Linked DNA regions of Arabidopsis thaliana. The protein of the gene in region 1 interacts with the protein of each later gene in a pairwise test. Each region holds a gene or a part of one and is shown on either strand. Other genes may lie near its edges.

The links. Proteins that work in one complex are often made in the same cells at the same time.
Region 2: the proteins of ZR3 (region 1) and AT5G51110 interact in a two-hybrid assay, tested with the Arabidopsis thaliana proteins (one large-scale study listed by BioGRID).
Region 3: the proteins of ZR3 (region 1) and ADT4 interact in a two-hybrid assay, tested with the Arabidopsis thaliana proteins (one large-scale study listed by BioGRID).

Annotation. Positions count from the first base shown.
Region 1 is NC_003074.8:20,308,355-20,312,411, forward strand, and holds ZR3 (Zim17-type zinc finger protein), read left to right. Parts: upstream 1-1,914; 5' UTR 1,915-1,999; coding exon 2,000-2,168; intron 2,169-2,795; coding exon 2,796-3,298; 3' UTR 3,299-3,500; downstream 3,501-4,057. Other genes in the region: AT3G54830 (Transmembrane amino acid transporter family protein), read right to left, coding at 3,547-3,629, 3,718-3,793, 3,885-3,928, 4,001-4,057.
Region 2 is NC_003076.8:20,776,968-20,781,276, forward strand, and holds AT5G51110 (Transcriptional coactivator/pterin dehydratase), read right to left. Parts: upstream 2,522-4,309; 5' UTR 2,414-2,521; coding exon 2,039-2,413; intron 1,715-2,038; coding exon 1,519-1,714; intron 1,441-1,518; coding exon 1,349-1,440; 3' UTR 1,037-1,348; coding exon of another isoform or gene 665-1,036; 3' UTR 534-664; downstream 1-533. Other genes in the region: AT5G51105 (ECA1 gametogenesis family protein (DUF1278)), read left to right, coding at 665-1,036; PABN1 (polyadenylate-binding protein 1), read left to right, coding at 2,793-2,948, 3,048-3,150, 3,230-3,352, 3,429-3,487, 3,732-3,923, 4,008-4,126, 4,229-4,274. UniProt on the Arabidopsis thaliana protein: Involved in tetrahydrobiopterin biosynthesis. Interacts with and acts downstream of the E3 ubiquitin-protein ligase SDIR1 in abscisic acid (ABA) and salt stress signaling.
Region 3 is NC_003074.8:16,269,739-16,273,946, reverse strand, and holds ADT4 (arogenate dehydratase 4), read right to left. Parts: upstream 2,437-4,208; 5' UTR 2,189-2,436; coding exon 914-2,188; 3' UTR 534-913; downstream 1-533. UniProt on the Arabidopsis thaliana protein: Converts the prephenate produced from the shikimate-chorismate pathway into phenylalanine.

The DNA.
Region 1 (4,057 bases):
CATGTAATAGGACCTAGAGGTTTCAACCAATGTACACCCAAAACTGCATCAATTCCTTTCAAAGGAATTACCATAAAGTCAGCTACAAAAGTCGTGTTATGAATCTCCCACTTAAAATTCTGTATTCTCGCTATCACCTTCAGATTGTAACCATCAGCCACCCGTACTCTTGCATTATCACTAGGTAGGAGTGAGCAACCCAACTTCTTTGCCATTTGAGGATCCATAAAATTGTGAGTGGAACCCGAATCAACCAACATAAAAATGGATCTCTTCTGACTTGTACCCTTAACTCGCATAGTGTTGTAAGTTGAGATACCCTCCATAGCATGAGTTGAGATATGAGCTACTTCCCCAACTAACTCCTTATGCTCTTCTTCTGCATCCAAGAACACTTCCTCAGCATCTTCCATTTCCAAAACAAACAATTGTGTTTTCTTGTGAATCTTATAATGTTCAGATGTGTATTGTTCATCACAAAAATAACACAATCCTTTAGCTCTCCTAGCACTCATCTCTTCAGTAGATAAGAACCGCCTTGGCTGATTTTGTTGTGTGTCTCTTGGTTTTTCCTGAAACGCTGGTTTATTGCCCTGCTGCTCCATGTCTTTCTTAAAGGAGAACTGGCCCTTTGAAGTAGCCTTATTGTTCTTCCAAGAAGTCGCATTGTTCTGCACAGGATGAGCAGTTTCATAGAGACGTCCCAACATCAAACACTGCCGCACCGTTTGGGGTTGAAACATTCGGATATGCATCTGTGTCTCAATCCTTAACCCAACCAAATACGCACTCACTAAATAATCCTCCGTCATCCTTACTCGAGTCCGGATCGCCTCAAACTTTGCGTGATAGTCATCAATGCTAGCAGCTGTTTCCTGCAACTTCTTCAGCTCAGCAATAGGATCCTCTCCAACCATCTCAAACCTCTCCCTGATCCTAGCTTTGTACACACCCCACTCAGGAACCTGCACTTCATCCTCAATCATATTCTGGTGCCAAGTAGCAGCCAGACCATCCAAATGAATAGAAACTACAGACACTCGCATCTCTTCAGGTATAGGATCCACCGCAAAAAATTGATCAACCTTAAACAACCATTCCTTAACCTTCTCACCACTGAATCTGGGAAAATCCAACTTCCCTAACCTTGTTACTCCCGAATGATTGTTAGCGTGACCTTGCCTTCTCATGTAATCCACGTCTGTTGCTGAAGCGGATGAAGCACGAGCTGTTTGATGAGTCTCACCCAGATTTGACTGCTTAGATGGAGACAGCATGTGGATCGCCTCAAACATCTCCGAGATATGGCGCTCGATCTTCAGATTTTGAGCATCGATCTTGCTCTCGATCTTCTCCATCTGTGACTCCATCGATTCCTCTGCTTCTAACGCCTTCTCTCGACGAGCTTGAGCTAACTCCTGAGCTCGAGTCTCGATCACCATCTCCGAGAAACGTCTTTGCTCTGATACCTTTAATACAGTAAAACCACACCACAACACAATCAATCAACCAAAGCAATCATCAACAACTCCGATTACTTATTATTACGATGTAAATAACAAATGAAATCCAATGTTCATAAAACAAGGGATTTCTGGATTCACCTCGCAAGAATCGACGTTCTATGCAGAGGATGAATCTCGGAATGTTTTCAGAGAGAAAGGAATAACAACAACTTCAACGATAACATGAAAATACGATGACACTTGATATTTATTAGCTTCAGCTCTACGCACACTTAATTTGAATCACAGCCGTCCATTGATCTTCTAATCACAGCCGTCCACGTGGCCTTACTCAATATCCTGTATCACACACATTATTCTCCTGCTTGTTCTGATTTTTTTTTTCTTTTTTCTTTTCTAGATAAGATTTCAATTCACAAATTTCTTTTTCCTCACGTAAAAAAAAGAAGAAAAAGGTCGGTCTACTTGTGGCTCACTCAGTGGTTCGAACCTGGGTTTAGATTTTGACTTGACCATAACGAAAACTAACTCTAATGATTAAAAAGGCTTCTTTTATTGTGCTCCGATTCCAAAATTTCACGGAAAATAGAAGCGTCGAGTTCCTCCTCTCCCTCAGGTTGTCAATGGCCGCTAGGTTACTTGCTTTGAGACGCGCTTTGTCTCTTTTCAGCAACCAACAACATCGTTTTCCTTTGTCTCAAGGTTTCATCTCTCTCCTTCTCAACTTTGTCATCTTTAAGAAAAATTAAAGAGTTATTGAAAATCGGGCACTAGAGTTAAACTGGTCTCTTAATCTGTGTAATTTATACTTGCCTTGATGTTTCTTTTGATGAATTTGGTTGAGATTCATGTAAATTTGTGGTTTTTATGTTTGAATTTACACTAGAAGAGGATTTTGGGGAGATTTTGGTTTTAGGGTTGTTTTTGTAGCTTTTAGAGATTTGGGGCATTAGTGATGATGAGTACTCGTATTCTCATGTGTATATCATCTAATATCGTCTTTGCTCTGTTACATTTTGGAGTTAGAGAAGTGCTTCTACGAAACCTGAAGTTATGAATGCTCACATAAGTGCTTTGTCTTCAACATATCTCTATGCATTAAGCAGTAGCTGTGAACATTGGCATTTCAGCTAGACGCTGGTTAAGTTTTCAAGTTTGGTTATATATTTCCTGACTAAGATGTGTTAGCATTAGTCTACGGTTTGATGCAAACATTATCCTAGGAGGTTCCTATGATGTCCTGTTATGGTACAGACTGTTTTAGCTTCGTGCAACTACAACTACTGTTAAATTGATCTTTCTTGATTATCTTTTTTTTTTTGAAAATAGTCTCAACAGAGCAGTTGTCGCTATCAAACTCACTCTTCAGCAGAAGTCATGTTTATGGAAGATTATTTCAGAGACAGTTATCTGTAATCCGTGAGGCAAATGAAGCTTCTGTAACCAATGTCTGCAACTCGTCAAACTCTGCTACTGAATCGGCCAAAGTTCCCTCCCCTGCGACGCCCTCTGAGGAAATGATGGTGAAGTACAAGTCCCAGTTAAAAATAAACCCGAGGCATGACTTCATGATGGTCTTCACTTGCAAGGTCTGTGATACAAGATCTATGAAGATGGCGAGCCGAGAATCATATGAAAACGGCGTTGTGGTGGTACGATGTGGAGGGTGTGATAATCTACATTTGATTGCAGACCGTCGTGGTTGGTTTGGAGAACCAGGAAGCGTGGAGGACTTCCTTGCTTCTCAAGGGGAAGAATTCAAGAAAGGATCCATGGATTCTCTTAACCTAACTCCTGAAGATTTAGCTGGAGGAAAGATTTCTACTGAATAAGGAGTGATCTTCTTTGCTTTTGCTACTTAACCATTATGGAACAGAACTTCACCTTATGTTCCAGTATTATAATTGTTTCTTGTAGTTCACTGTTTGGTAACATTTAAATGCAGAAGATGTTTAATACAATTATGTGTTTGGAATGTTCCATATAGGTTGAGATGTTCCATTGATTTAAGACAGAAACAAAATCTCAAGAGAAACAAAATAAGAATCTCAAGATTGATCAGTTTTAGGTGTTCAACTTCTCAATGATCTTTGCAAGGGCTGAATATGTGCCAATGACTGAACATACTGCTCCTACTGTCATAATTAAGATACAGATTGTCACCTGCAAACAAACCACAGATTGTTATATCGATTTCAGTTTGAGGAATTTCGATATTCGGTTTGGTTATCAGTAAGTGAGCAGGCCATACCTGAGTAGGGGTTACTTTTTTCCTTAAGATGCTCAAGAAACAAGCTGGCGGTAGTATCAGCGTCTGTGTCCAGAAACTTTGTCAGGCTAAGCAAATTCACTATGAAACTGCAATATGAGAATTTGCTTTACATAACCAGAAAAGGATGAAACAAATGTGTAACTTACAATGAGCATTGTCAAGAATGATCCAATCAGTGACATGACAAGGCCTGCAAGAATTCTGAGTGTCAAAAGAAGTGACACTTATTTTCTTTACATGTATATTTTTCGTTTGTCCTTACCGAAGAAGGGAATCGCAAGACCAACGAGCAGAGTAGAGATGGCTAATGCACTTCTAA
Region 2 (4,309 bases), on another chromosome or scaffold:
ATAAGAAATCTTTCTATAAGCTAAATATTTAGAAATCCGAAAATATTATTTTTGGATGGTGTATTTAATATTAAAATATGTTTGGTTTAAAAAATAATAAGGATAAGGATAAGGATAGTGGAATTAATAGTGTTTGACAATGAGTATATTATATTCAATAAATGAAAAATAAAAATGATGAGAACAATTATGGGCTTGCCACATCTTTTACTATATAGAGGATTCCAAAAAGTTGGAAGAAAAACAATTCCTAAATTGAAAAGATTTTTTTCTTTTTCTTGCTATGAATGTAAATAAAATCTCAAAAAAAAAATTAGGAGATGATATATATCAAGATGAATAAAGACGAAAGAGACTTAAAATTTGTTACTGCTTCCCTTCTGTCATCTTTGTATTATTTCCTATCATATTGTTAGGAAAGATTTATTTCTTTACATATGAGAAATATGACAGCATCAAATTCAATGTGCATCAAACGTTTTGACTATTTTTGATTTTCTTCCAAAATTAAAACGACAAATTTGATTTTGAAAGCAACTTTTAAAAATACGTTTCGCCAAACTAATTACAGTATAAATTGGATCTCATAGCCAATAACTTTATCTCATCAAACAAAACTCAAGTCATCTATTTCTCTTGTTGCATAGTCCCCCAAATATTCATCATGTCGATCAAGAGTGTTGTTTCTCTCCTAGTAGTTGTATGCATCGCAGCCTCCGTTAATGCTCAGCTACCGCAGTTTCCCCCAATCATGTTCCCGTTTCCAAATCCGTTCAAACCAAGTCCCGGTATGGCAGGAAGTCCCGACTTGAGCAAATGTTGGTCAACAGTGATGGATTTGCCGGGATGCTTTGAAGAGATTCAACAAGCCGTAATGTCCGGCAAATTTGAAGGCGTTGGTCCTGCTTGTTGTAAAGCTTTCCTTGACGCTGAAGCTAACTGCTTACCAAATCTTCCATCCAACCCGTTTTTCCCTCCTATGATGAAACACCAATGCTCCAAAATGGCTAGTCCTCCAACCACCACCGCCTATTAGAATGCAAAAATGTAGTTGTGTTTTTTCGAATTTTTTGTTAGTCCCAGAATGTTCTAGAAGAAGAAATGATAATAATAATGTCTTAATCTAATAATAATGTCTCATTTCTTATATTGTGCTCCATATGATTGATGTTCTTTCTTCTTTTGATTGATGAATGAATCTCAAAGACATGTTGCGTGATATCTCTTATGCGGTTATGACAATGCTTTCTATATAACTCGACATGTAGACCGATCACACACAATTTAGAATACATCACATACATTACATACTATCAAACAAAAATGTTCCAAAATAATGAAAAGAAGATCACGCCCAAGCTCTTTTCCTAGGGGAAAGATCAGAAGTCTTGATATCATCTATTTTAGCCGCCATTATGAAATCATTCATGCTCAACCCTCCTGCATTATTCATCCAACAAACCGTCTTAAGAAACCATATATTAAAACTCAAACTCGAACATCAAATATTTGACATACCGATAGAAGAGGTAAATAGTTCAGCTCGAACTTGGGTAGGACTTTCCAAGTGAAGAGAAGGGTAATGACCAGAAGCTTCAGCAACCTTATGGATCCTGTTTATGAGTTCAACACCGCACCCAAAATCCCTCACTTTCCACATACACCTTATTTTCAGACCACCCGCTTCATTATCCACTATACTCCATCCCAAAACCTAAAACGTTTACATAATAATCATTGAGATTGATGTACCACATCATTAGAGTGGTAACCGTGAACCAAAACACCAACATGAGCCTTATCAACACTAATCATTTCATTTTTTTTTAATCTCGTAACCATTGTTCCTAATATGTCCCTCATGATACTAAAATTTTCATTGGCTTTTCTATATTTTTGGGTCACAATTCTATCTTTATAGATTAGAAATCTGTTAAACGCAGAATCAATAACATTTTCACAATATTTTGATCAACCAACAAACTTGTAAAATCAAAACTCGAACATTTTTATACTAAGAGAGAAATAGTATAAGTACCTTGTGGAGGAGAGTTCTGGCATCATCGCCGGACAAAGGAGGCTGTGAAGACGAAACAGGGGAACACTGAAGCTGGGAGAGAGACAAAACAGATGCGTTTGGTATCAAAATCTTGTGCTCAGTGCTTTGGCATCCCAACACTTTATCTCCGAATTGACTCGCTATCTCCTCCGGGTAAGGGTCACGAGCTCCGAAGTCACCAAGAAAATCCTGCGCCAGATTAGACCGGGTCACCGTTAACCGGCCGAGTTTACGGTTATTCCTACTTACAGGTGGTAATAAACCGAACACTTTAAGGATTGAGCGAGAAGGTTGACGGAGGAGGAGGGAGGACGCGGAGATGTTACACGGCGGTGATGATGACGTGGCGGCCATCGGGAGCTGTGATTTGCTCTGTACCGAAGATAAGAGTTTTGGTTTTTAGAGAGCGAAACGATTTTCAGACCACTGGACTGAGTTAAATGGGTGAGGTGCCACGTAATCACTAATGACTAATGGGAACCACAATAAACTTTCGTGGGACCGACTTTACACGTCACGTTTTAATCTGAGAAGCCCATTGGGTTTGATTGTACTTTTGTGTCCACTTTTGGTGAATCTACTTAAGATTTCATAATTCCGAAAGTATCCTTTTTGGGTATCTTTAATTACAAACAAACCTTCCCTTCTTTCCCGATTTCAAGCCCTAAAATTCCGAGACTTCTGTTTCTCGCTTTAACGACAGTCGCCGAGTGAGAGATATAGAGAGAGAAAGATGCCGGTGCACGATGAGCAAGAGCATGAGGTGTACGGTGGAGAGATCCCAGAAGAGGAAGAAGGTGAGATGGATACGGAAGAGTACGAAGAACACGGCGGAGAAGAAGGTGCCGCCGCCGGAGATGAGGAGCTTGAACCTGGCTCTAGCTCTAGGGTATTGTGATTCTTCGATCTATAATTTACTTTTATCCAATTGAGACTCTTCTTATTTTTTACTGTATTTAGTCTGTTATTTGCTTTGATTGTTTGATAGGACTTGGAGGATATGAAGAAACGAATTAAGGAGATTGAGGAAGAAGCTGGAGCTTTGCGTGAAATGCAAGCCAAGGCTGAGAAAGATATGGGTGCTAGTCAAGGTTTGTACTTATTAACTGATACGTAAAATCTTGAATCTTTGTGCGCAGCTTCACATTAACCTTTAAATTGATAGATTAGGTTTAAAGCTTGTCTTGTTGATTATGATATTGCTTTGGGTTTACATATTGGAATCTTTTAGTGAATCAATGAATCTGTCTAGAAATTTACTGGAGTTTGAGTATGAGAAGGAAATCATTAATAGTATTGTGGAGTCTTGTCAGTTAGCTAATTGGGTCAATACCTTTTATGTTGTTGCATATCAATGAAGACCCTTCAGGTGGTGTTAGTGCGGCTGAGAAGGAAGAAGTGGATTCGCGTTCAATATATGTTGGCAATGTGAGGCTTGTTCCACCATTAATTTTCACATGTTTCTCATATATGTTTGTATCTTTTTTAAAGAAAGTTTGTGTGTTTTATTGCTTTGGTATCAATGAAATTTGGAGGCTGCTTGTTGTTTATTTCTTTATCTCTAGTAATTGCTAAACTAACTTTCCTTCATATTTCAGAAAGCCTTCATATCTCCCATCTGTGAAGCTGATTCTTTAGATATCCTGTGTCTTTGTTTTTTTGTGTATATTAGGTGGACTATGCATGTACTCCAGAGGAAGTCCAGCAGCATTTTCAATCATGTGGGACAGTGAATAGGGTTACAATTCTGACAGATAAGTTTGGTCAACCTAAAGGTTTTGCGTATGTCGAATTTGTGGAAGTAGAAGCTGTTCAGAATTCGCTTATTTTGAACGAGTCAGAACTACATGGTCGTCAGATAAAGGTGCAAACTCGTTCAATACGATGTAGTTAATTATTTTCCATATTACGATTTGTCATTACTAAACTTTGTTTAATCTATTTTCAGGTATCTGCAAAGAGGACTAATGTACCTGGAATGAGGCAATTTCGAGGAAGAGGGCGTCCCTTTAGACCGATGAGGGGATTCATGCCAGGAGTTCCATTTTATCCTCCATATGCTTATGGGTGTGTTCTAGAACCTTACCTGCCTATCCTCTCTTTTAAAGTCCATTTGTTTGATTCATCATGGTTGTTCATAAAATTGACAATGGTTGATGGTTTGTGCAGGAGAGTTCCCAGGTTCAGACGGCCTATGCGCTACAGACCGTACTGATTAGGCAAATTGGTGTTAAAAAAGTAGCAGCTGCT
Region 3 (4,208 bases), 4.0 Mb from region 1:
AATTATTACTAGATTCAACATGTAAGTTTCTTGGAAATTATATTGCTAATTTCTTGCGACTCACCTAGAAACCAAACGTTGAACCCTTGAGTTGAGTTCACACGTGACCGGTGACCATAACTTTTTTTTTTTGTATCTACTCGTGAAAACTTCAAGGAAATCTTCACAAAATATTTTAATGATGTTGGAAATTATATCACCAACTACAATAATGGAGACTTGTTTTGTGAATATTATATAAACTTCGAACAAAATCTTTGTATTGTATATTAAATATGATAAGTTGATTTTTATTCACATTCATTTTCATTGGTTTACTTTTTTTTATCATGTAAGCGATTGTTTAATGGTATACATATGTTGTGGTTGAGCTTAGTGAACTTGAGATGAAGTCCTAACAGAAAGTTTTAGTAACAACATTATGCTGATAATTACATAAAAGAATTTGGTCTTAAGCTTTTGATATTGAAGAAAATATTAGGATCATCTCTACTAAAAATATGATTTAATAGAAATTTGTAGTAAAAATACTAATAACGTTGTTAAGATAAACAAAGTTACAAAACTGATCACATTTTTCTAAAAAATATGTGTAAATATATGTCTTTGTTTTTGGTAATGCCAATCATTTTTGCTTTTCTTGGTTAAAATCGAGTGAATTTACCAAAGAAAACCAAGGAACTCAAAAAGATTCTGCGAATAAACCACAATGTTCATAACTATTAAGTAAGAATGTAAGATATATCTGGTAGCTAGTAACAGACAAATAAAATTTTGTTTTCTCCTAATCACCACGTGAATAATGAGCTCTACATTTACGGTTTAATTTCAATGTATACTACAATTTTCACAAAAAAAGAAAGAACAGAATAATTTAATAAATTTATTGGTGAGTTTGTTTTTGGCGATGGGGTCATGCTTCTTCTGTGGATGTCATGGACCATGGTGTCATATCCATGGGGTAACTTCCCAGCACCCTTAGGAACGACGTGTACTCTTGAACCTCCGCAAGCGCGTTCTGTGCACGCGGCTCAGCCATCGATGCCTCAAAATCCACGTAAAACATGTACTCGAAGTTCTTCGACGTCCCAAAGCTCCCGTCACCAACAACCCTAAGCGGGCGGTTATGGTGAGGCCGGGACTCGATCTTGGTCAGGCTAATGTCTCTGAAAGCGAAAGCCGAGAGGACTTTAAAGAGGACGCTAGTTCCTTTGTGCTCTTGGGCAGCAAAGACGATGCTAGTCTTGAATGGCCGGTCCGTGCGTGGGATTATAGGCTCACGCGCCAACATTAGGAAACGAGTGACGTTCCCCGGGTCGTCTTGAATCCCATCCGCTAATATCTGGAGGTTGTAAAGCTCAGCGGCGCGTGCGCTCGCCACAGCCGCCGTGTCATGTAGGTCGTTAGCTGAGATATACTCCGCAGCAGCCGCTGTGTCATGGAAAGCCTCACGCGCTGCATGTGGTGTAAGGACGTCGAGGGAGTGTTCCGTCTGCGCTAGGGCTTGCGGGTGAGAGATCACCCGCGAAACACAGTCAGTTCGGACTCCCGGGAGTGCGAGGAGGCAATGGTGGACCGGAATCTGAACTTCTCCAACGATGTGAAGACGGTGACGGAGAAGAAGATCATAGTTTCGATGGATCGAACCACCGAGTGAGTTCTCCACCGGAAGCACAGCTCGATCAGCGATCCAAAGCTCCACCGCCTGAAAAGCAACGTCAAACTGGTCACAAGGAATGGCGTCGCAATTGGGATAAGCTTTTCCGGCAGCTGCTTCCGAGTAAGCTCCGGGAACGCCTTGGTAAGCTACACGTAGACTAGAACCATGCAACGGTGCCGGAGATAGATCAGTAATAGTCAACGGCTGAGCAGGAGCTAACTTTCCGTTAGTTGACTCAACGGCGACGAGACCAAGATTCACAGAGCCGTTCGTGTGACCATTAACGGCGGCGATTTTGTCCGCTAAACCACCGGTATTTTCAACAGAAGCAACTTTACTAGATAAAATGGCACATGAGCTTTGCCAATCAGATCGACTCACGGAGACACCGTTAGGGAAGCTAAACGACTCCGACCTATAACCGCACGTAACAGCCACGCGCTTTGGAATCGCGTGGGAGAAACATTTGTTCCTAGACGTCGGATCTGTTGATCGGAACTTGAGATCACACGACGTTGCGGCTTGCATGGTTTGGTAATGATGGTAAGACAAACAAAATTTGAGAATAAAAGCTGTATTATAGATTTATAGTGTTGGAAAGCTTGAGTTCTTTCGTTGAGAGAGAAGCTCAAGCTGAGAGATAAAGGAGAAGAGAGATGGTCTTATATACACACTAACACACAAGAATAAATTTTGTTTTGTTTTTGACAAAATTAGTCTTGACGTATGTAATTCGGTAAAATCCTTCACCTACCACCTTCCATGTAATTTCTATACTTTTTTTTCTTTCTGAAAACTATAATAATAGTTGTCTTTATTGAAATATATGATATTGTTGGTTTACGTGAAAGCGATATTCTTCATTTCTTCTTAGTTCTTACCATGGTTTTGTATTGTTGGTGTTACGTCCATAGATTTTTCTACAAATATCAAGATCATTGGTGTTTCTTTTGAGCAGTGGATGGTAAAATTTCTCTTAAAAAGTATTGAATATTCTATTATTATATATACATATGTATATATATATATATAGTTTTTTAATTGTTTGTTTTTCAATTAAAACTTAGTTACCTACTTCAAGAAAAATTAGATAGTTTATCCGCACTATGTGTGGGATAAATATATTATAGTAAATTTTTTATTATTTGAAATCTGAAATTTGCCTGTGTATTATTTAATGTAATATTTTTTTTTTGAACCATCTAGTTTTTGCATTAAAATTATTATTGCCCGTATATTGATTGTTATTAAATATGTATAAATATATTAGTTATTATTTTTATAATTTTCTTATTAAATTAAATTAAAATTATATTTTTAGAATCTTCTGAATATTTATAATTTACTTAAGTGTAATTGATATTATTTTTGGAAAAAACTTTATTTATAAATGTATTGGTAATATCTGATTAGAAAAATGAAAGTAGTACTATATTAATATTTTTGTTAACATATGATTTATGTTTCTATATAAAAACGAAAGTAGTTCTATATTAAGTTCTGAAATATTACTTGCTTAATTATTAGATTATTTTAATTGGAATTTCTTTTTTTAATTATTTACTACTTTTAATTGGATTTACTTTTTATTGTTTCTGTTATTGAGATATTTATATGTACTACTAATGATAAATTTTATAAATGATCTAGTAAATGAGGGACAATGAAGTAAATTGATTGAGAATTGCTCTGACACATCAGCTGGCATTTCTGTAAATACGACTGTAACTAAATTTTGTTTTTTAAGTGTGATTCTCTATTAATAATTTAATATATAGAGGATAAATGAATTCAGAAATTAATAAAAATTTTGATTACGAAAATATATAGTAGGCCCAAAGTTCACTTTCTCATATGTGGAATTTTATATGTCCACGAATAACACGGTTCAGCTCACCTTCTTTTACTTTGACACAATCGCCAAGCTGTGAGAGCATGCGCAGACCATAATGGACACATATATAGTAAATGGTTTTGTATTTATTATGATTTATGAAGTTGTTGGTCATTTTCATTTTTGACGATGTCTATTATTTGTTCGCTTTGGTGAAAATATTTGGTAATTAATTAACAAAGTGAATACTGTTTTACGAAACTCGGAAGGTGATCTATGATCTGTCATTTCGGGAGCATATATTTATATACATGATTTGTATTTGACTGATAACATATTTCAGGATCTTGGATATTGAATCCGTTTCTACTACAAAAAACCGCAAAATTGTGTGTTTTATGCCAAAATCCCTAAATTTGTGATTTTTTTACTTAAACTGTTTTCCAGTAAAAGTCGCAAACTATGTCATCCCGTAAAAAGTAACAAAATCTTGTTTCCGTAAAAAAAAAGTGTAACATTGAATTTTCCGACAGAATCATTATCTTATATTCTTTTCTGAATAATTGCTGAAAATGACCTTTTCACATTATCCTTTTTTAATTATACTCTTTCCTATTTGTCATTTTCATTTCTACCCTCTTTAAATTTTTTAATGACCATTTTACCCCTATTTGGAAATTGTTTTAGGTAAACAAAATGAAATATTAATATTTT